Linked DNA regions of Tamandua tetradactyla. The protein of the gene in region 1 interacts with the protein of each later gene in a biochemical or structural test. Links are inferred from orthologs where the notes say so. Each region holds a gene or a part of one and is shown in the gene's direction. Other genes may lie near its edges.

The links. The genes of interacting proteins can lie anywhere in the genome.
Region 2: the proteins of DRD2 (region 1) and NCS1 form a complex in vitro, tested with the Homo sapiens proteins (2 studies listed by BioGRID, with this or other methods). The link is inferred for Tamandua tetradactyla from reciprocal best matches to the Homo sapiens genes DRD2 and NCS1.

The regions. Positions count from the first base shown.
Region 1 is NC_135334.1:27,596,217-27,605,439, forward strand, and holds the start of DRD2 (D(2) dopamine receptor), read left to right. Parts: upstream 1-4,990; 5' UTR 4,991-5,076; intron 5,077-9,223. UniProt on the Homo sapiens protein: Dopamine receptor whose activity is mediated by G proteins which inhibit adenylyl cyclase. Positively regulates postnatal regression of retinal hyaloid vessels via suppression of VEGFR2/KDR activity, downstream of OPN5.
Region 2 is NC_135328.1:53,088,498-53,098,667, forward strand, and holds the start of NCS1 (neuronal calcium sensor 1), read left to right. Parts: upstream 1-6,265; 5' UTR 6,266-6,326; coding exon 6,327-6,390; intron 6,391-10,170. UniProt on the Homo sapiens protein: Neuronal calcium sensor, regulator of G protein-coupled receptor phosphorylation in a calcium dependent manner. Directly regulates GRK1 (RHOK), but not GRK2 to GRK5. Can substitute for calmodulin. Stimulates PI4KB kinase activity.

The DNA.
Region 1 (9,223 bases):
CTCCCATAGTTCAGTTTCCGGGGGACTGCTGCTCGGGCTGGATTTTGGTTGAAGATTAAGTGTCTAGCCCTTTCGTTCCTGTTTTACCAGCCTGGTTCTTTAATCATCCCCTTGATTTTGGGAGCTATTACAATAGTTTCAATGAATTGCTTTTCTGCTTAAACTGCCCAGAGCTGTTTCTGTCTCTTACATCTGTGTTTCCTGATGGATACAGAGACTGTTGGAGCAAGCTGTGGCATGAGCAGCTGCGAGGTATAGTCCTCAAGTCCTCAGAGGCAGGACACACACGCAGAGGAGCAGGTTGTCAGGCAGAGAGTTCCAAATTCTGCTGTTTAGTGTATAGACTAAAAGCATCTCTTCTCCTTATTTTCTCATGCTCAAATGAAGAAAGTTTGAAAGAACTTCACAACTGAGAGCTGGACAGCTCAGTTCCATCCTACACCCCAGTGGCTGAATGGTCCTTGCATTTGCAGATGACATGAAAACTATCATCCTGGTTTCATTGCCTGTTCCCATCCTCTGGAAGGGGAAGCCCCTTGGTAATCTTTCCAGTGCTCTCCCAAACTAATGACGTTACTGACATCACAAGGCTCTCAGAAGCTAAATGAGATAACAGGTGAGAAAGTGCTTTATTATCTATAGCAGAAGCTGACGAAATCCAAGACAGTACTGATTAGACTTCAATACAACTGAAGATGGTGTGTATAAATTGTTTCCTAAAGTCAAACCACTTTCACACCTATACAAATGGTAGTTCTTAGATATTTTATTTTATTTTATTGTATATATTGGTGACTGCAGTGGCCACCGATTTGCAAGGTGTATAATTTTATGACCTCTTCCCATCAAAGAATTAAATAAATTTGCTGTATGGATAACTGCACTCTAATTGATCTGTTTTGTAACTGGAGAATTATATAATAGAATTTCTTAAAGTGGGTCACACCTGTATTCTCTGTTGTTCCAGAAGAGGAGGATGCAAGCAACAATATAAATGTCCACTTCACAGTGATGTGCAAGACCAATGCATTCTACCAGTGAGGAAATAATTCTTTAAGAGTGAATTACAAACTGGGTAGATGGAAACACTAGTGGTCAATGAAAGGGAGGGGTAAGGTGTATGGTATGTATGAGCTTTCCTTTTTTTTTTTTAATCCCTTTTTCTGGAGTGATGCAAATGTTCTAAAAAATGATCATGGTAATCACATCACCGATGTGATGATATTGTGAGCCATCGATTATACACCATGTATAGAATGTATGTGTGTGAAGATTCTCAATTAAAAAAAAAGTACATTAAGAAAAAGAGTGAATTACACATGCAAATGTCAAAACTCTCAAGTAACTCTCACTGCACTCCTGGCTTGGTCAGACAAAGTGTCCTTATGCCCATGCTTTGGGAAAAATCCTCTCCCTCCCCATCTCTCCCTCAGGACTATAAGCCTAGTATATCTTCAGTTCCTTAAATGGAGTATCTTGAAAGCAGTAAGCAAGGTTTCTGCCCTTCTGTAAGATGTTCTGTGCTTTGAGGGAAATAATAAAGGTATAAAGGGCAGAGTTCATTTTCTTTTTTTTCCACACCTCCTCTGACCCAGGTGGATGACCCCCTGTTCTAGTTTGCTAGCTACCAGAATGCAATTTACCAGAAATGGAATGGCTTTTAAATGGGGGAATTTAATGAGTTGCTAGTTTACAGTTCTAAGGCCAAGAAAATGTCCCAATTAAAGCAAGTCTATAGAAATGTCCAACCTAAGGCATCCAGGGAAAGATACCTTGGTTCAAGAAGGTCGATGAAGTTCAGGGTTTCTTTCTGAAGTGGAAGGGCACATGGTGAACACAGTCAGGGTTTCTCTCTCATCTGGAAGGGTACATGGTGAACATGGCATCGTCTGCCAGCTTCTTCTCCTGGCTTCCTGTTTCATGAAGCATTTCGTTCTTCATCTCCAAAGGTCACTGGCTTGTTGACTCTGCTTCTCATGGCTATGTCGTTCTGCTCTCTCTGAATCTCCTATTCTCCAAAATGTTTCCTCTTTTATAGGACTCCAATAAACCAAGCAAGATCTACCCAAATGGGTGGAGACATGTCATCACCTAATTCAGCTTAACAACCACTCCTGACTAAACCACACCATCCAGGGAGATGATCTGATTAGTTTCAAACATACAGTATTGAGTAGGGATTATTCTACCTTTATGAAATGGGATTTTGATTAAAACATGGCTTTTCTAGGGGGCATACTTCCTTCCAGACCAGCAAACCCCCCTAGTGTCCCCAGAGTCATTTGCAAATGGGATAAGAACACCCTAGTTCAAAAAGTTGTTATTTTCCTTTAATCCCCCTGATTATATTGCAATATGGCTCTTTATCCCCATTTTGCAGTTGAGGAAACTGAGGCTCAAAAACATTCAGAACTTTCCCAAAGATACAGAGTGGGGACTTGACCACAGTCTGGTGCATCTCCAGAAGTGCTGCTTACCTCACCCTCTTCTGCCTCCTGACTCCTCAGATAAGTGCCTGTTGCTGTGGAATAATATGTGGCAGCCTGTGTCTCTCTGTGGGTGCATCCTCCTTTCTATGCCCCAGCCATCCCTCATTTTCCATCTCGGAGGGCAGTCCTTAGAGTAGAAGAGGGGATTATATTTCTCCCTTACTGTCTGTTTGCTCAGTTCTTTCTTTCCTTATTACAATGGGTTAACAAAACCCCTACCGACTTCAAAACCCATCCTTAACCCCTACTCCATCTTCAACAATGAAAAGGGTAGCAATAAAGGTCTGAGTTGGCTTATCAGGAAGAACTTGACTCTGGGGCTCTGGAATATACAGATGAGGCCGAGGCCCCCTTTCTGGAAAGCTATAAGGGACACCCTACTCCCACCCACGTGGGCTGGGTTGTTCTGCCTGGGGGCAATGGGAGGCTCTCGATGCCCCCCACAGGTTCCTGGCAGCCGGGGAGGTGGGAGCCTGCAGTGCAGCCGCGTGCCTGGCCGCAGCTGCTCCTGTCACCCATCACCCCATGCATCTGTTTGCAGTGCCGCCTGTTTGAACAGCGAGGCATTTGCTAATTGAAAATGAAAAGATCCATCCGTCTCACTCGCAGCGGCATGAAATCCACTCAGCTGTGCAAGACTGGGGTAAAAAAGGCAGTGTAAAGCCACCGTGTCCTTGGGCCTCCTGACTGAGCCAGGCTACCCTCCTTTGCTCAGAGCAACTGGGGTCAGCCAGGGGTCACACATACTCAGTTTGTCTAACGCTTCCACTTCTGTTGTCTTCAGTGTAGCTGAAAAAAATAGATGTTAGTAGCCTGGAAATAAAGACAGGGAAACTGAGAGTCAGAGAGCTTAAATAATGCAGCCAAGATGACACAACTAGTAGGTGCTGAGGCAGGATACCAGCCTACGTCCTCTGATCTGGTCCAGTAGGAAGTCCACCTTGTCTCTAGGCTGATGTAGAGGCACTGAATCGGGAGGCACCAAGTCCCTCCTTAAGTGGATTAAATCTTAGAATGAAGATCCAAGGGTATAGGAGGGGAACCCTATATTCAACCGTATCTCTAATGTCTATTACTCTAAAAGCAAATATGGAAACAACAGCACCGAAAAAAAAAAACAAAAAAAAAACCCGCTCCAATGCAAACAAACAAGAACAAAGCAAATATGGCAAAATGTTTAGATTCCAGATCATCTCCATCAAGCTTGTGAGGTACAGGCCAGGATCCGCAGGATAGAGCCAAACGCTTGGGGAGGGGGCGAGGCTCATGCCTACTTACAGCCTCTCCCTCAGGGCCTCAGGAGAGCTAAGTGTGAGAAGTGCTGGTTTGCACCTCAGGAGATGGGGCCTGGCCCACCACTGGATCTCTGTGGGATTTGGAAGGTCATGCCATCTCTCTGGGCCCAAGTTCCCCCTCTGAAGCCATTTCCATAATTATGCGGGTCACTGGAGGAAATACTGAGACAAATTTTATCTTGTGGCTCTGGGTGACAGTTTGGCCACTCTGCGAACTGGTCAGGTTTTCGGGGTGCTGGCCCCCCTACCTGGAATGCTGTCAGTGCCCTGCCCCTGTGAAAAGCCTCCCTCCTTTGTGCTGAGATCTGCTCCAGGCATTTCCCCGTGGGTCTCCACTCTGGATTAGCAGGGCATCAGGACAGGGGCCTGGTTTTCTTCCTCTCTGTGAGCCCAACAAAGAAGAGATAGTCAACTAACTGCTGAAGAAGAAAGAAAAGGGAAAAAAGGGAAGAGGAGCAGCCCAAATTACCCTGGACAGAGCACAGCAGTAGGTCAGCGTCCCCTGGAGTCAAATATGAACTGGAGTCCCGGAGGCTCTCTGAATTTTGAATTACCACCTTAGGTCAACTCCAAGCAGGCTTTTCCTCTGAAAGAGTAAAGCAACAGAAGTGACCACAGGGATTCCAAGGACAAAAGTCGGAAAACGGACCCTGGACCTCTCCTACTACTCTTCCATCCCAGCGCCTCCCCGCACCCTATGCTCCGACTCCTCAAAGGAGGAAACAGACGAGTTCAGGAGAGTGAGGATGCTCGACGAGTAGGCCATAGAGGGCTCGGTTCCGAACGGCACCTCTGGGCCACCTGACCTGCTCAAACTGGGAACTACGAAGCCGCTAGCCACTTCCTCCAGGTCCAGGTGCACGCAGCTGGCCGACAAACCCGCGCGAGTGGGGCGGGGCCTGGTCCCAGGGGCGGGGCCCGGAGCGCCTCGTGGCCAGCGCGGCCCCGCCTCTCCCCAGCGCTCCCCGCGCTCCGGGCGCGGCGGAGCTGTCGGACCACAGTGCTGGAGCTGTCGCCTCCCGTGCGCCCCGCGCCGCCTCCGCGCCGCCCGCCGCCCAGCCCCGCCCCGCCCCGCCCCGCCTCGTCCCGCCGCGGCCGTCCACTGCTCCCCGCGGGCGGGAGCCAGCCGAGCGGCTGCCCGCCCGGGCTCTAAACGGCGCGGCGCGACCAGGGGGTCCGAGAGCGGCGGCCCCGGACGGCTGCCGAGGGGCGGCCGCGTGTGGATGCGGCGGGAGCCGGAAGCCTCGAGCAGCCGGCGCCGCCTCTGCCCCCGGGCGCCTTATGGCTTGAAGGTAAGCGCCGGCGGCAGGAGAGGCGCAGCGGTCGAGGCGGGTGGGCAGAGAGAGAAGAGCGCTCCGAGGGCGGCACGGCCGGGACCAGAACTTTGTCCACTACTCTCCTGTCGTCTGCCCGTGGCGCCCCGCATGCGGTCGCGCTCTCCACGGACTTTCCGTCGGGCGGCTTTCCCCGGGGAGTTCCGGAGCCCGGTGGCTGCCCGCAGGGTCCGGAGCCCCTCTCACTGGCTCTCGGTAGTTTTCAGCCCCGCTTGGACGGGGAATCTCACCCGGGGGACAGGCGGGCTCGCGGAGAGCGAGCTCCCCGAGCCGCAGTAACCGAGCATCTCCCGCTGGCACTTTACTGCCAGCTCCCGAGTCCGGCACCCCAGGGCCAGCGGCCAGAGTTTCCGATTGCTCAGGAGGGAAAAGGGTTGTTCTCGGCAGCTCCTCGTTCTAGCGACTTGAGATTTCTCCTAAGGGCAGAAGCCAGAGATGGGGGAGAAGCCAGTTTTGACGTCGCCTTCCCACTCCCTAGCCTGTCCGCTGTCCTTGGGTTCTGATTCTTCGTTCTCCTTCCTCTTCTCTGTCTGAGATCTAGTCGGGGAAGGAGTCTGGGGTTTCAGACCCAGCTCGGCCTGGGAGTGGGAGTGAAGGTGGTGGGGGCAGTAGCGGAGGGTGACCGTTCGGCTCTGGAATGGACCAAGAGCCCGAAAGGGTGGTGTGCGGAGACAAGCGGCAGCTCTAAGCGCCACACAGAGCGCGTCCCCCATCGCTGTCTGCGGCGGGCAGCTTGGGAGCGGTTCCTTTGGAAAATCAGAGGTAAGACGGTGCGCGCGCGTCTACAAACAGGCTTCGCCATGGGCACGAGTCATCGGGCTGCAGCCCCGGAGGGACAGGGCCTTGCTTTCTAACCACAGGAACTCTCTCTGAGCGAGTCACTCCTGCCCCACCTGATACTCCACTACTTTCTGTGCTGGGGGCTCCTGAGATTGGGTGAGATGAAAAGCTCTCCTGTGGACCTCTTTCCCCACCCTCCCAGCCTTCTCCAGGTCTCACCATATCCGGATTTAGACCAGGCTACAGACCTTCCAGGCTAATCTTTGCTCCTTCCCAAGGAACTAGATGTTCAATGATTCAACCCTCTTTGGATGCAAATACTTGTGCTTAGCCCTGAATCATCCTGCAGCATTAGTATAACTGGAAAAAGAAATGATAATCCTCATCTTTTCCCCTGTTACTGCTGTTTGATGAGGGTGGGCAGAGAGACGGGCGGTGGTGAATGTGACCAATTTCAAGAGAATTCACTTAGATTGTTTGCTGGGTCCCAGTCTCCTGCCTTTGACTTCTCTGTTTGGTGTTCAACATTCTTGGCACATTTGACTGCGGGGGGGTTGGTGCTTTCTCTGAACTCAACCTTGTGACTGGAGAAAGGTTTGGGGAGCAATTGGATCCAGAGCCATTTGGGGCCATGGCATCTCAGGCCTTGTTCTCTTGAAGAAGATTCTCAGTTCCTTCTGCCTTCCCTGCACAGCCTGGGGGTGAAAGGTGTCTGGAAAAGGGGGATTCTGATTTGTTCTAGAGGTTTAAGAAAACATTTCTCCAAATGTTTTTTTTTTCTCCCGTGAACTCTATGCATCTAAATCATCCAGGAAGCTTGTTAACAATGCATACTTTTGTTTTTTCCATGGCTCTACTAGATGAGGATCTCAAACTGAGTTCCAGGGATTTATATTTTAACAAGATTTCTGGGCGATTCATATGCACAGTGGGTTAAGGGATCTATTCTTTTTAAAATTCAGAACTTCAGATTAGAGGTAGCATGATTAGGGTATTTAATTGACCCCTTGCCTCCTGAATTTATATATGTTAAATTCTTCAGCCATAGGATTGTTGGTGGAGAGACCAGTCCCTTAATTCAATCCCTGTACTGCTATGAAGGATGCAACTAAATCTCTTCTGTTCCTTCAAGATCCTCTTGGGCTTTTCATCTTTCAAAAACATATGTGTGTGTGTATATATATATAGTTTGCTTTGTTTTTTACCTTTCTAAAAATCACCAACATGGCTTCAGGTTGATTTGAGTAAATACTAACTCCCCCCTTATTCTGGGGGGACTCAGTACATTCTTTGTACCCTACCCCTTCTGGGGAAATTACTGTCTTTCGTTGTGTATATGCTGTGGTTTGTTAACCCAGCCACTCCTGAAATACCAAGGAGTGATTAGTTCAACCTGGTAGCACGTCATGTTCCCCAAGGCTGGAAGCCACTTGTGCCCTGCTGGCAGTGACATATTGATTGTTTTGATTTGGCTCTGGTGCTCCATAAGCTAGAAAGCTTGCAATGGATGAATAGGCCAGGAATGATGCTTACTTATGGCTAATCGGTCTTCTACCCCTGCCTTCAAGGGTGGGTTGTTTCTGTCTATAACATGCAATTATAATTTTGAGAATGATGAAAGAGAACCCAATCTTGCAAGAAACCCTTCTGTTCCTCCTCCTGTAACATGGGAAATAAAGGGAAGCTCATGATCTCATCAGAAATCCATGCTACATACTCCTGAGATTGACTGTTGAAGCCAGGCTGGTCTGAGGTCATCGTTCTCTGAATAAACCGGGGAAAGGCAGGTGGGCTCTGTCCTGGAGAGAGCCGACTCCATCTCATTTGTAAGTGAAAGTTGCATTTTGGTGCTGAGGAAGAAGCATGGCTGTGAAGATAGCCCAGAGAGAGTGTGGTAGGGGTGGGGAGCTGGGCCTTATGATAAGAACTCCTTGGGTCAGCCTTGCCCCTTCCAGTAATTCACATTTTGTGACCTCTCACTTCCCTTTTCTCCCTACCTTATGAATCTCCTGCAGTGAAGGTGTTTCAGCAGCTAGGAAGGGAGAAGAGAATCAGACTTGAGGTTTTATGATGCCAGGACCCAAGCCATATTTGTGATATGTCCCAGACTCAAGTTGTGTATCAGTAGGTTACAGTGACCTAAGAGCTGAGTCTTAAGTAAATGGATATGACTGCCCAGGCAGTCACATTTCCCTGAGATACAATTTATAGGACTTTAGGTGCTTGGATTACTTGGCCCCTCAGAGGTCATCCTGGATGCCTGGGACACCAAACAGGGCAGCTGTACCCTTAGTCTAGAAATATGGTGGTCTCTTTCTTGTTATTACTCCCCAAAAGGAGTGAAATGAGCTTTCTAGTTCCAGGACACCAGGATTGGATTAAGTGAACAAAGCTTCTCTATCCTGCGGGGACTCTGCATAGAAGAAGAGCATCCTGCATGTAGGAAGTGCTTGGAAACCACAGGCAGCAAGAAGGGTTCAGCTTGGTTCAGCTTCTCAGCAGGCACCCTCCCCTGTACATAGCCCGTCATATTGCTGAACCCCAGCACCATTTGTCCCTGCCACTCAGTAGGGCTTTGAGATTATGTGTAAGCACTCAGCTCTCCAGGATACTAAATGGAGCCACCAAGGGTGTGCAAGTTGCTTATTTACCAATTCTGGGTGGCAGACTGATATTAATTATCTCCAGCCTCCTTAATTACTCTAACAGTGTTAGAAGCCAATGTTAATACACCCCTGCCTCTCACCTTCTCCCATCACCATACAATTGAAGATTTCTTTCTTATTTTTTTTAGCAATAGACTCATATTATCTAAATTCATGGGCTTGGAAAATAGCTTGATTATAGTGTCAGTGCATGTGGGCGGAGGAGTAAAGATACAAGATTCAGCCATTTGGTTTGCTTCTGTTTGGGTCCGGAAAAAGGAGAGAACCTTGCCCTTGTGACCTGCACATTTTCCCTTTTCTTATCCCTTTCACCTCGATCTGATAAATGGGTTAAATCGACACACTTGGCAGCTGGGATGCCCCTTGGGACGGTGCAGCTTCTTCTCTCCCTAGGAGACAGGGGAACTGCTTCTTTGCCGAAGATATACAAGGAGGAGCCAGAGATGACGCACTTGGGCCTGGGCTCTCCCTCCTCCCTGGGATAGAAGAGGCTGTGCTGCTGTGTTGTTCCAAACCCAGACCTGGAAGCTGCTGGGTGGTATGGGGGAGGTGGGGGCAGTGCAGGGAGGTGGGAGAAGAGGAGACTCACTGAGGCCCTCTGAAAAGGCTGAGCTTAAATATACATTGTACAGGTGTCAACGTAGTCAAGTTGGAGCATT
Region 2 (10,170 bases), on another chromosome or scaffold:
AATTTGTTTTGAGCTCCTCAAAAACTCTCTTTCAGATACCATTTCCAATTATTCTTTTTGTATTGCCTGTTCAAGTCTGTGCTGATTTGAATCTGTTGTGTACCCCATAAAAGCCATATCCTTTAATCCTCATTCAATATTGCTGGGTGGTATCTTTTTTACCACCCATGGAGATGTGACCCACCCAATTGTGGGTGGTAACTTTTGATTAGATGGTTTCCATGGAGATGAGTCTCCATGAATTCAAGGTGGGGTTGCTTACTGGAGCCCTTTAAAAGGGAACCATTTTGGAAAAAGCTTTAGAGTCACCAGAACCCAATATCCCATGCAGCCAGAGACCTTTGGAGCAAAAGGAAAATACCCCCAGGGAAGTCTTATGAAATGAAGGAAAAAAAGCTAGCAGACATCACCATGTGCCCTTCTAGCTGAGAGAGAAACCTGGAACTTCATCGGCCCTTTCTTTGGAGATAAGTTATCTTTCCCTCAATGCCTTAATTTGGACACTTTCATGGCTTTAGAACTGTAAACTTGCAACTTAATAAGTTTCTCTTTTAAAAAGCTATTCCATTTCTGGTATATTGCATTCCAGCAGCTTACAGACTAACACAAGTTCCTTTCCCCGACTTTCTATTGAGGCACTCATATTTTTCTTATTGGTTTAGAAAGCTCTTAAAAGATTAAAGATATATAACTCTTTGTCATGTGCTTGTACAAGAGTTTTTTATCTTTATAAACCCTTCCCCCCAGATTAGTTTATAAAATGGGAAAGTGATCAGCCAAGAGCCACATGGAGAACCCATTGCACGGAACCCCAGCCTTAGGACACTGTGCTCCACGCTGGGGTTTCAGTGGGACCCCTCTTCCTCCTCCCACTCCTTCTGGGGCCAAGTTGCAGCACCCCCACCCCCACTCCTAGCAGGAGGATCCTGGGCATCCTCCATTTGCATCCCTGTTCCTACCCAGACCTGGGAAACAGAAAAGTGCTACAGGCAGGTATATAAGAGGGGAGCTTGAACTCACCTGGTGGTGGTGGGGCGTCCAATAAAGGCTCCTTGGAAGAGGCGATGTGTTAGCTAGGACAGGGGAAGCAGGGAGAGCAGGTCAGGCAGAGAGAAACAGCCTCTGCAAAGGCCTGGAGGCTGAGAGTTTGGCTTCAGAGAAATCAAGAGGTGAGGCAGGAGAGAAGGTGGTTTCTGTCAGGTCAGCTGGGGGCTTGTAAGCCCTACAAAGAGCCAAGGCTTTCTCCAGATGGCAATGAGAAGCTTAAATGGGGAAAAAAGGGGTTAGGTTTGTGCTGGGAAAAGCTCATTCTGGCTGTGTTAAGAACACAGGATTTGAGAGGGGCCAAGCAAGGCTATGGGGAGACTTCTGAGGTGGCTGCGTGGTAGTTGGGCTTTGAGAGGTAATAGTGGCTGGATTAGAATGGTTCTGGTGGGGAAGGACAAAAGCGTTCAGCCTTGAGGGCTATTTAGGGAATGAATTCCAATGAACTAGGTATGGTTGAATGGATGTGTGGGGGGGTGTGCTATCCCTTGGAAGAGGGTGGGGCTAAGGATGTTTCATATTTCTGGCTGGACCCACTGGATATAGAAGGGGCCATTTGCCCAGGCAGAGAAGGGTTCTTTATGGGAAGTGATGAGTTATGTTCCAGGCCTGATGAGTTTGAAGTGTTTATGGGGCCCCCAAAATGTAGACACCCCTGAATCACTGGATACGAGACTAAGATAGGGGAAGAGAGATCCAGGCTGGAGCTGTTGTTCTGGCAGGGGTGGTCGGTGAGGCCCAGAATGCTGCGACCTAAAGGAAGATTTAATTCAGGGCTCCACCCACCACATGTGTACAATTTGTTCCCCTATGGAAGGACTACTGAATAAGTTTATGGGGCCACTCTCCCAGATGAGTTTATACACTAGGAGAAGAGACCTTTACTGAAAGGCAAGGAGGAGAGCTAGAGGCTGGGTTAAAAGCAGATTCCCAGGCATACCCCCACCTCATTCAGGTTCACTCTGTCTAGGGTGGAGCCTGGCAATCTGGGTCATCATCAAGCTCTCTGAGGGGTCACAGCTGGGCGACTCAGGTAGGCGCTTCCTTGGCTATCACAGATGTGCAAAATGATCTGATAAATTATTCTTCTTATTTAAAAGCAAAGCTCCCCCTCCTCCCAGAAAGCAATGTATATAAAATACGGAGAAGAGAAGAAAATAAAAATTACCTGTAATCTTAATTTACTGGAAATAACTGATAACACCTCGAGATATATCCTTCAGACTGTTTTCAACACGTCTATATATTTAATTTGATTAGCCTATTTACACTGATTTATAACCTGCTTTGTTTTTTAAACATAAAATCCAACATCCTTATTTGTGTATCTCACAGACATCTCAGACCCAACATTTGAGTTTATGACATTCAAGCCCAACTCAGGGGACCCTATCCCAAGAATGCATCCCTTCCCCAGGTGATAGTAACAGCCACCAGGGATCCATCCTTGCCACCCCCAATGAGCCATCCTAGACCCTTCCCACCAGGTCCCCAACCTCAGCAGGAAGCTGCCCTTGACTCCTCCTCCCCAGAGAGCCATCCTTGAAGCCCCCATGCCATGCAGTTGCACTCAGCTTTTCCTTTCTCACCCCCCCACCTGCCCTCACCATCTAGTCAATTGCCACTCAAGTTCCCTGACTCCTCCACTTCTCCATCTCGACAAAGGCCGCTCCTGCCCAAGCCTCCCACATGTTTGAGAACAGCCCCCAACTGGGTTCTCTGTCTTCACCCTGTGCCCTCCGATCCACACCGCAGCCAGAGCAATCTTCTCAATGTGCAAATCTGGTCGTGTCACCCTTGGTTGAAGACTGGCTGTGCACATTTCTTTGCTGAAAAAACAAACTCCTGTGTGGCAGACAGAACTGAAACCACTACTCTTAGGACAGTGACCAGGGCATCAGAGTTGATCTGAGCCCTTTGTTGAAGGCAGCTCAGGCAGAGGCATTTTCAGCCCAAACGGGCAGGGAGGCTTTGGGTCAAAAGCCAGGTCCCAAGACTCAGTACCTTCCCACATGCTGTCCTCATGGCCTGGAAGATTTTGGCCACCCTTGCCTGGCCAGCTTCTATTCAGCTCCCTCCTCCAGACTCCCGTATCACCTATTTCTTCAATATTTCCACTTGGGTATCTAACAAGCATTTCATACTTCATATGTCCAGAACAAGACCTCTCCTCTTTCTGTCTCCAAAACTGTCCACTCCCCATTTTAGCAAATGGAAATTCCTAGTTGTTCAGGACAAAAACCTTGGCATTGTCCTGGACTCCAGTGTCTCTTCACCTGCCCCCTACCCACCCCCACCCTCCATCCAGTCTATTAGGCTCTATCTTCCAAATCTACCAGTTCTGTCAGTGTTAACTACCGCCATCCTGGTCCTGTCCACCACCATTTCCTCTCTGGATGATGTAATGGCCTCCAGCAGGTCCTGTTTCTTATCCTGGGCCTGCCTGGAGTCAGTTGTTCATGCAATAGCCTGAGTTATCTGGCTAAACACAAGAAAGATTCCTGGAGTCTGATCTCATCTCCTAATTCTCTGCTTTGCCCTCTGAACCCCAACCTCACTTATGCCTTTCTTTGAGACCATAGATGGCCAGCTGGATGCCAATGCACAGCCCGGGCAATGCATATCCCTCAGCTCCCCTCCACCTCTTTCAGGTCATTGTGCAAATAGCGCCTGCCCAGTGAGGCGGTCCCATCTAAAGTTTCACACCCTCCTGTCCTTGTACTTCCCAACCCTCTTCCTACTTTATTTTAATTTTTCACCTCTGGTATACTATATATTTTACTCATGCATTTTGTTTATTTATATTGTCTTGCCTCACTAAATTGCAAGGTCTGTAATTGATGATAGGGATCCCCAGAACTTGGACTCAGCTTGGCACACGGTAGATGTTTAGTAAATATTTGCTGAATGAACAAATGAATCTGTTAAGTCTCCCTGACTCCCTCTGACAGGTGCTTTCCTGGGTGTGTTCCCCCAGTGCCCCCTCTGTTCTCTTGGTGACATTTATCACCAGTGTAATTACATGATTGCTTGTGTGTGAAGGCTCCAACAGGTCCATTTGCCCCTAGACTATGAGCTCGCAGACGAAACAGACCATGTTGGTCACTGCAGTGCCCCACTGCCCAGCACAACACCTGGCACATGAGCAGCAGGCAAGAAATACAGAATGTACACCTACCTGGAATGCTATAGAACTTTAATTGCTCCTGATATCACAGTCTTCCCAGCAGCCCTTGGCCTCCAGCCAGCTCCCCCTCCTCCCAGGCAGCATGCTCATGCTGACTTGGCCAACTAAGGGGTTTGAGTTCGTCCTCACAGTTGGGACACCTGCTCCCAAATCTAAACCAGATCCCTCAACTGTGGGCCTAGCTACCGCTTCAGAATGAGCTGGCACAGGCCAGCAAGTCTGTCCCCATTGGAAGCCTTCTTGGAGCAGGGGCTCCGGCCTCCTCAGTCTAGAAGTCCAGGCCCCCGCCCAGGCCAGGCCTTCAGGGGAAAAGCTGGAGCGAAGCACATTTGGAGGTAGGAGGGGTGTTTAAGGCTGAAAGCATTGGCGACCCTGGTCAGGGTTTCTCTGTCTCCCTAGCTCTCCTGAGTCTCCAAACAGCAGGGGCCACTTGCCCATTGCCTCATCCTTCGCTGTTGCAGACCTGAGAGTGGTCTTACTTCCCACATACTCTGTACCTCCTGCACCATTGTCATTCCTTCCTCAGTTCCTCATTCATGCTCAGAAGGGTTTTGACACCTACTGCATGTCAGGTGGTCTTCTAGGCCCTGGAAATATAACTAGAGAGAAGACAAGAATCATTAGAGCCTCATGGAGCTCAGATTCTAGTGGAGGAGACAGGCAAAAAGACAATGAGTAAATAAAATATGTCCTCAGTTTGTGATCGTTGCTAAGGGGAGAAAAAAATAAAGCAGGGAAAGAGGATAGGAAAGGTCTCAACATGTAGACATTTAAATGGGGTGGCCAGGGAAGGCCATGAGGGGCTCTCTTGCCATCCTCTGCCCCACTTGCTTCTGTCTATCCTGGTGGTACCCTGGACAATCACCCCCTGCACCCCCGCTTCCCTTCAGCTCCTGCCCTCTGAGCGTACCTCCAACTCAGAGGCCAGATCCAACCCTGTCAGGCCCCTGGTAAGTCCTTTCATCCACTCCCCTGGACAGAGGCCCACCTCCTCGAAGAGAGAGGGGCTTACCAGGCCCTGCCTTCTGCGGCACATATCATATCACACACACAACACGCCCACCCCACTTCTCTCTGGAGCCCTGAACCTCGGGCATTCGGTCCTCACTCCCTTCTCAAGGTTTTTGGTGAAGGAACATTTTCCCCACCATACTCCCGTCACCATCTCGAGATGGAGGTCACCTTTCCGAGGCCGCGGGTAGGTGCCTCACCATGCAGGCCGCAGCTTGCGTAGCCGTGCCCTCAGGCCCCCAGCCCCGTGAGGACCAGGACCCCTTCGGGATTGTCTGCCGCGGTGTCCCAGAGCCCCACGGATAGTGTGGAATGAATGGATTTCACCGGGCAGGGACTTGGCCTCATTCCTGTCAGATCTTTCCCCGCCCCTCTCCCCCTCAGAGGGGGCTAAAGGGCGGAAGATCGCTCCGAGGAGAGGGGTGGCGGGTGTGATCTTCTTCCCGCACCCCCAGATGTAATGACGAAAGGGGGAAAGGGGGTGCCCCTCTGCCGGCCCTGGCTCCATCCTTGCGGAGCCCCCCCCCCCCCCGTTCTGCATGCAGAGGGCCTGGCGGAGCGGGTGCGGGGCGGGAGGAGGCGCCGGCTGCTGAGTGGCGGCTCCGCGTCCATCTCCTGGCGCGCCGGTGCGGGCGGGAGGCAGGAGGCGGGGAGCACTGGGGCGGCGGCGCGAGGGAGCGCAGTAGCGAGCATGTGCCGCCGAGCCCAGTAACCAGGGACGACCGCGGCAACACAGCGGCCGGCCGGGTCGGCGCCGAGCCCAGCGCAGCTCCGCGCCGCGGCGCCCGGAGAGGGCGGGAGGGCCGGCGCCCACGCCCGGGCCTGCCGAGCAGCTGCCCCGCGTCCCCGGCCCAGCGCTGAGCCCAGGGCGGCCGAGGAGCAGTGAGCAGCGCATCGCAGCTCGCCGGAGCCCCGCGCCAGGGCCGCGCGGGCACCGCGCAGACAAAGGCGCGGCCCCCGGCCGGCCCGCCGAACCCTCCGCGCGCCCCGCCCGCGGCCGGACCCTGCCCGCGCCGGCCGAGCCGCTCCCACTGGGCGCCCTGACGGGGTCCGGCCCGGGGGGCGGGGGCCGCGGCCGCCGAGGATGGGGAAATCCAACAGCAAGTTGAAGCCCGAAGTTGTGGAGGAGCTGACCAGGAAAACCTACTGTGAGTGTGTATGCGCTAGCGACCCGCCACCCCCGCGCTTCCTGCTCTCCCTCGCGCCCCTCCCCCATCGCCCCATCACCCCCAAACCCTCACCGCTCCTCCCGCTCTACACCCCTCTCAACGCCGCAGCCCTCTTCCTGTCGTCCCATCCCCTGCCTCCACGCGGGACCCGTCCGAGGTTCCGGGGCCCGCGCCCCCAGCCCCCTACCTGGCCCTATTGTTCTAGCCCCCGCCCTCCCCCAACTCTGGACGCGTGTTGCCTGTCAGTGTGCTAGAGTGCACCCCCCACCCCCCACCAGGACCGGTGGGACAGCCCCGGCCCACCCGCGGATCCCCTCTCTGCAGACCTGTGGGAAGGGGCTGGGGTGGGGCAGGGACGGTGGTCCGGGGAGGGGGCCCTTGGTTGCAATGTGGCTTCGGCTGCGCGGAGCCGACTGGCACGAGCCCGGCTGGATGGGTGATTCATGCATCACGATGCTGCTGCTGCTGCTGCTACTGCTGCTGCGAGGTTGGCCTGTCGCCCCCTCCCTGGCCCCGGATCGTGTGTGTGGGGTGGCGAGATTTGTCAGAGCTCAGGGCGGCAGCGACTGGGGTGGGGAAGGGTCCTGGGCACCCTTTTTTCTGCGGGGATTTACAGTCTGAATTCATCTCTGGCCTAAATTTCACCTCCCCTCTTCTATCTTTACCTGCCCAATTACAAAATGGGTTTATGAAGCCGTGTGTGATCTGGTCATCCGATCATTTAACCACTACCTGGAAGAGGAGAGTCTGTCAAATTTCAGACTTTTCTAAACCAGACCCAGTGTGTCCACCTGCACCAACTTCACAACTCTCCAGTTCCTCTGCATCTCCAATTTCTCTGGCTGCCCCCTTCCCTACAATTCTTTGGAGATGCGCTGGCATGCCAGGGATTAATAGCACTGGGTCCTAACCATATTGTCTTTCTATGGGGCTGGCACTTGAGGAGAACATGGCTGTGTTGTTCAAGGGCCTGTGCGTGGGTATTTGATTTGGGAGGGGTCAGTGCTCCTGGACTCAGCTTGGAATTCAGAGCCCATAACCTAGCAGCTGTGTGGGTCCAGCTCCCCAGCATCCGTACTGGAGGCAGTGGATTGACCGCCAGCCCAGGGTGTTGATGGAAGCAAGGGAGGTAGCTTCTGGTGGTGCATTGCACAACATCTGTTTCCCACCCCCGCGCCGACCCCCTTGCCAGCCCCTACCCCCACCCGCATTGGTCTTCCGGGCACGTTTGCAGGTTTATCCAAGCCCATGTTTCATCTCCATGTCCCTCATCCCATGTGCTGGGAACAAAGGGGTCTTTCCTGAGTGGGTGCTTATCTGCTAAGGAAGACGCACTGGCCCTTCTCCAGTTGAATTCTGCAGCTAGGAGCTCATCAACCACTAACTGATCTGCAAAGGGGTGAGGCTTCGAAAACCAGAGGCTCTGTTCTTATTGCTGTCACCCTTTCCCCCAAGTTTGGGGGTGATCCTTTCCGGTCTGGCTGCTGATCTGTGACATGTGCTGGGACCATCTTTAGGCTCAGGCTGGATATGGCCCATAACTATCAGCAGGCAGGCTGCAGATAGGCCCCATGTCAGGAGAGGCAGAGGACCCCGTGGGCTACGCAGGAGTGTTGGGGCATGGGCTGCAGTGGGCGTATTTATCCTGGTGGGGAGCAGGGGAGTGGCCCCAGGAGCCAGGAGAAGCCAGTGTCCTGCTCATTGAGAATGTCGTGTGCCAAGCTCTTTGCATGTGTTAGGACAATGACTCTTCTCAACAGTCCTACAGATGGCAGGTACTGTTACTATCCTCATTTACAGATGAGGAAAACAAGGCTCAGATAGGCGAAGTGGTGTGCTCAAGATCCCACAGCCAGTCACAAGGTCGTGTCAGAATTTGAACTCAGTTCTATTTGGCTGCCCAGCCGTGTCTCATCAGAGACCTCAGAGCACATGTAGAGAAGTCAGGAAGGGCTTTTCTTGTGTGTTGCTTTTGGATTTCGGCTGCAAGCCCACAATGGTAGATTCCGGAATGGAGGAGGTGGACATTTCATCCATCCCTCCTCTCTCGGCAAGTCCGTTAACTTTGAGAGAAGTTGAGTCAACAAGTCTTAGTTAGGAACAGGCCCATGTGGTGTGTCCTGGACTATTTTTAAAGGCCTTCAGAGACATGAAACAATTTTGCCCAGGGAGAGACTTAGCTTGGATACTTTTCCTTCTGTAGAAGCCCTTATTAGGGATGGGTGGGTGGAGAGGTAGTGGGTTCATTGCCTCCTGTCTGTCTCTTTTGCTAAGTCAGGCTCCCTCGGGGCAGCCCCTTTCTGGTCGGTTAACAATTGTACCTCCCATGTGTTAGCATCCAGTAAGTCCCAAGATATTTGTTGAGTTGAAAGTCCCCCAACAAGAAAATAGAGAAAGACTCTGTTGGTTCTAAGGCCAGCAGATGGGCTTCCTTCTAATGGAGAACAGAGATGCTTGCTCTTTGTTCCAGGGGATTCTGGGTCTGTGGTCAAGAGAAGGGCCGCTTAGGAAACACTCACAAATGTCATACTCTCCTGGAGAACTTGTCACATATGAAGATGCAGTAGGTCTGGGCTGGGACCCAGGCATTTGCATCCTTTGTTGTGGAGATGGTGATTCCAGGGAGTCCTGTTGAGAACTGTAGTTGTTGGAGGGTCCTGGAGTAAGCATCACCTGGTGTCCTAGACCACCCAGGGCCCAGATGGACATCCCAGATGTCTATGCCTGTGTCAGTGCTGAGCCCATTCTTGGTGGTGATTCTTCTGCTGCATGGAAAAGACTGTCCCGGTGGTCTCTGTATGTTTGAGGAAGCAGAAGGGCTATAAGTTCCAGCTGTGTGGTCCTTGCTAGACACATCCAGATTCAGCTTGGCTAAAGCCCTCCATCTTTCAGGCTGAAGACTGCAGAGCTGGTGTTTTGCTTTCTCTGCAGAAAAGCCTTTTAAAATTGTTGGTGCTCCATATCCCAATCCTTGGCCTTTCCGGTACAGTCTACATCCAGGAGCAGCAGGAGGTTAGTGAGAAGGATGTACGGCAGTTTGATTTCTTTGAGGTTTGACCCACTTTCTTCCAGCTTGTCAGTGAGGCTGTTGATATCCCAGTACCCCACGGTGTGAGGACCCCATTGAACAGGCCGGTCCCCTTACCTACATGAGCCTCAGTTTCCTAATCTGCAAAATGGGCGTGGTCATGATGCTTGACTCTGAGGGGATGTGAGGAATGAACAGGATAATTCCCACACAGCATTGGGCTTAATACCCGGCAGTCAATATATGTTCACAATCACTGTTAATAATTGTTGGTTTTGACCACACAATTCAGCTCCATCTTGAACTGGTCTTATATATAGTTTGTGGACAAATGTCATCTCCCCACAAAGGAAACTTCCTACTGTCCTAACCTTTGTGTCAAAAACACAGTAGGCATAGAGATCACTGATTGGTTTGTCCGAATCCTAGCTGGGTCTTGTTTTTACCTGCAGTGCTCTACTCCCATCCCCACTTGGCAATACACCGAGATAAAGCAGTGAATGAGAGAGGTGTAATTCCTGCCCTCAGATAGAATCCAGCCGGTAGTCCAGAAAAACCAAGCTCATAAAGCTCAATTCATTTGTCGTGGTCTGAGCTGCATCAGTTTAGAGGCTTCTGGGAGCTCCTCAGGCCTTCTTCTAAGAGGCAGAAGCCCCTGCCCTCCCTCCTTCTTTCTCCTTCTCTTCTCCCCACCATGCTCACAGGTACTCCCCAAGGATGCTCCGTCTAGC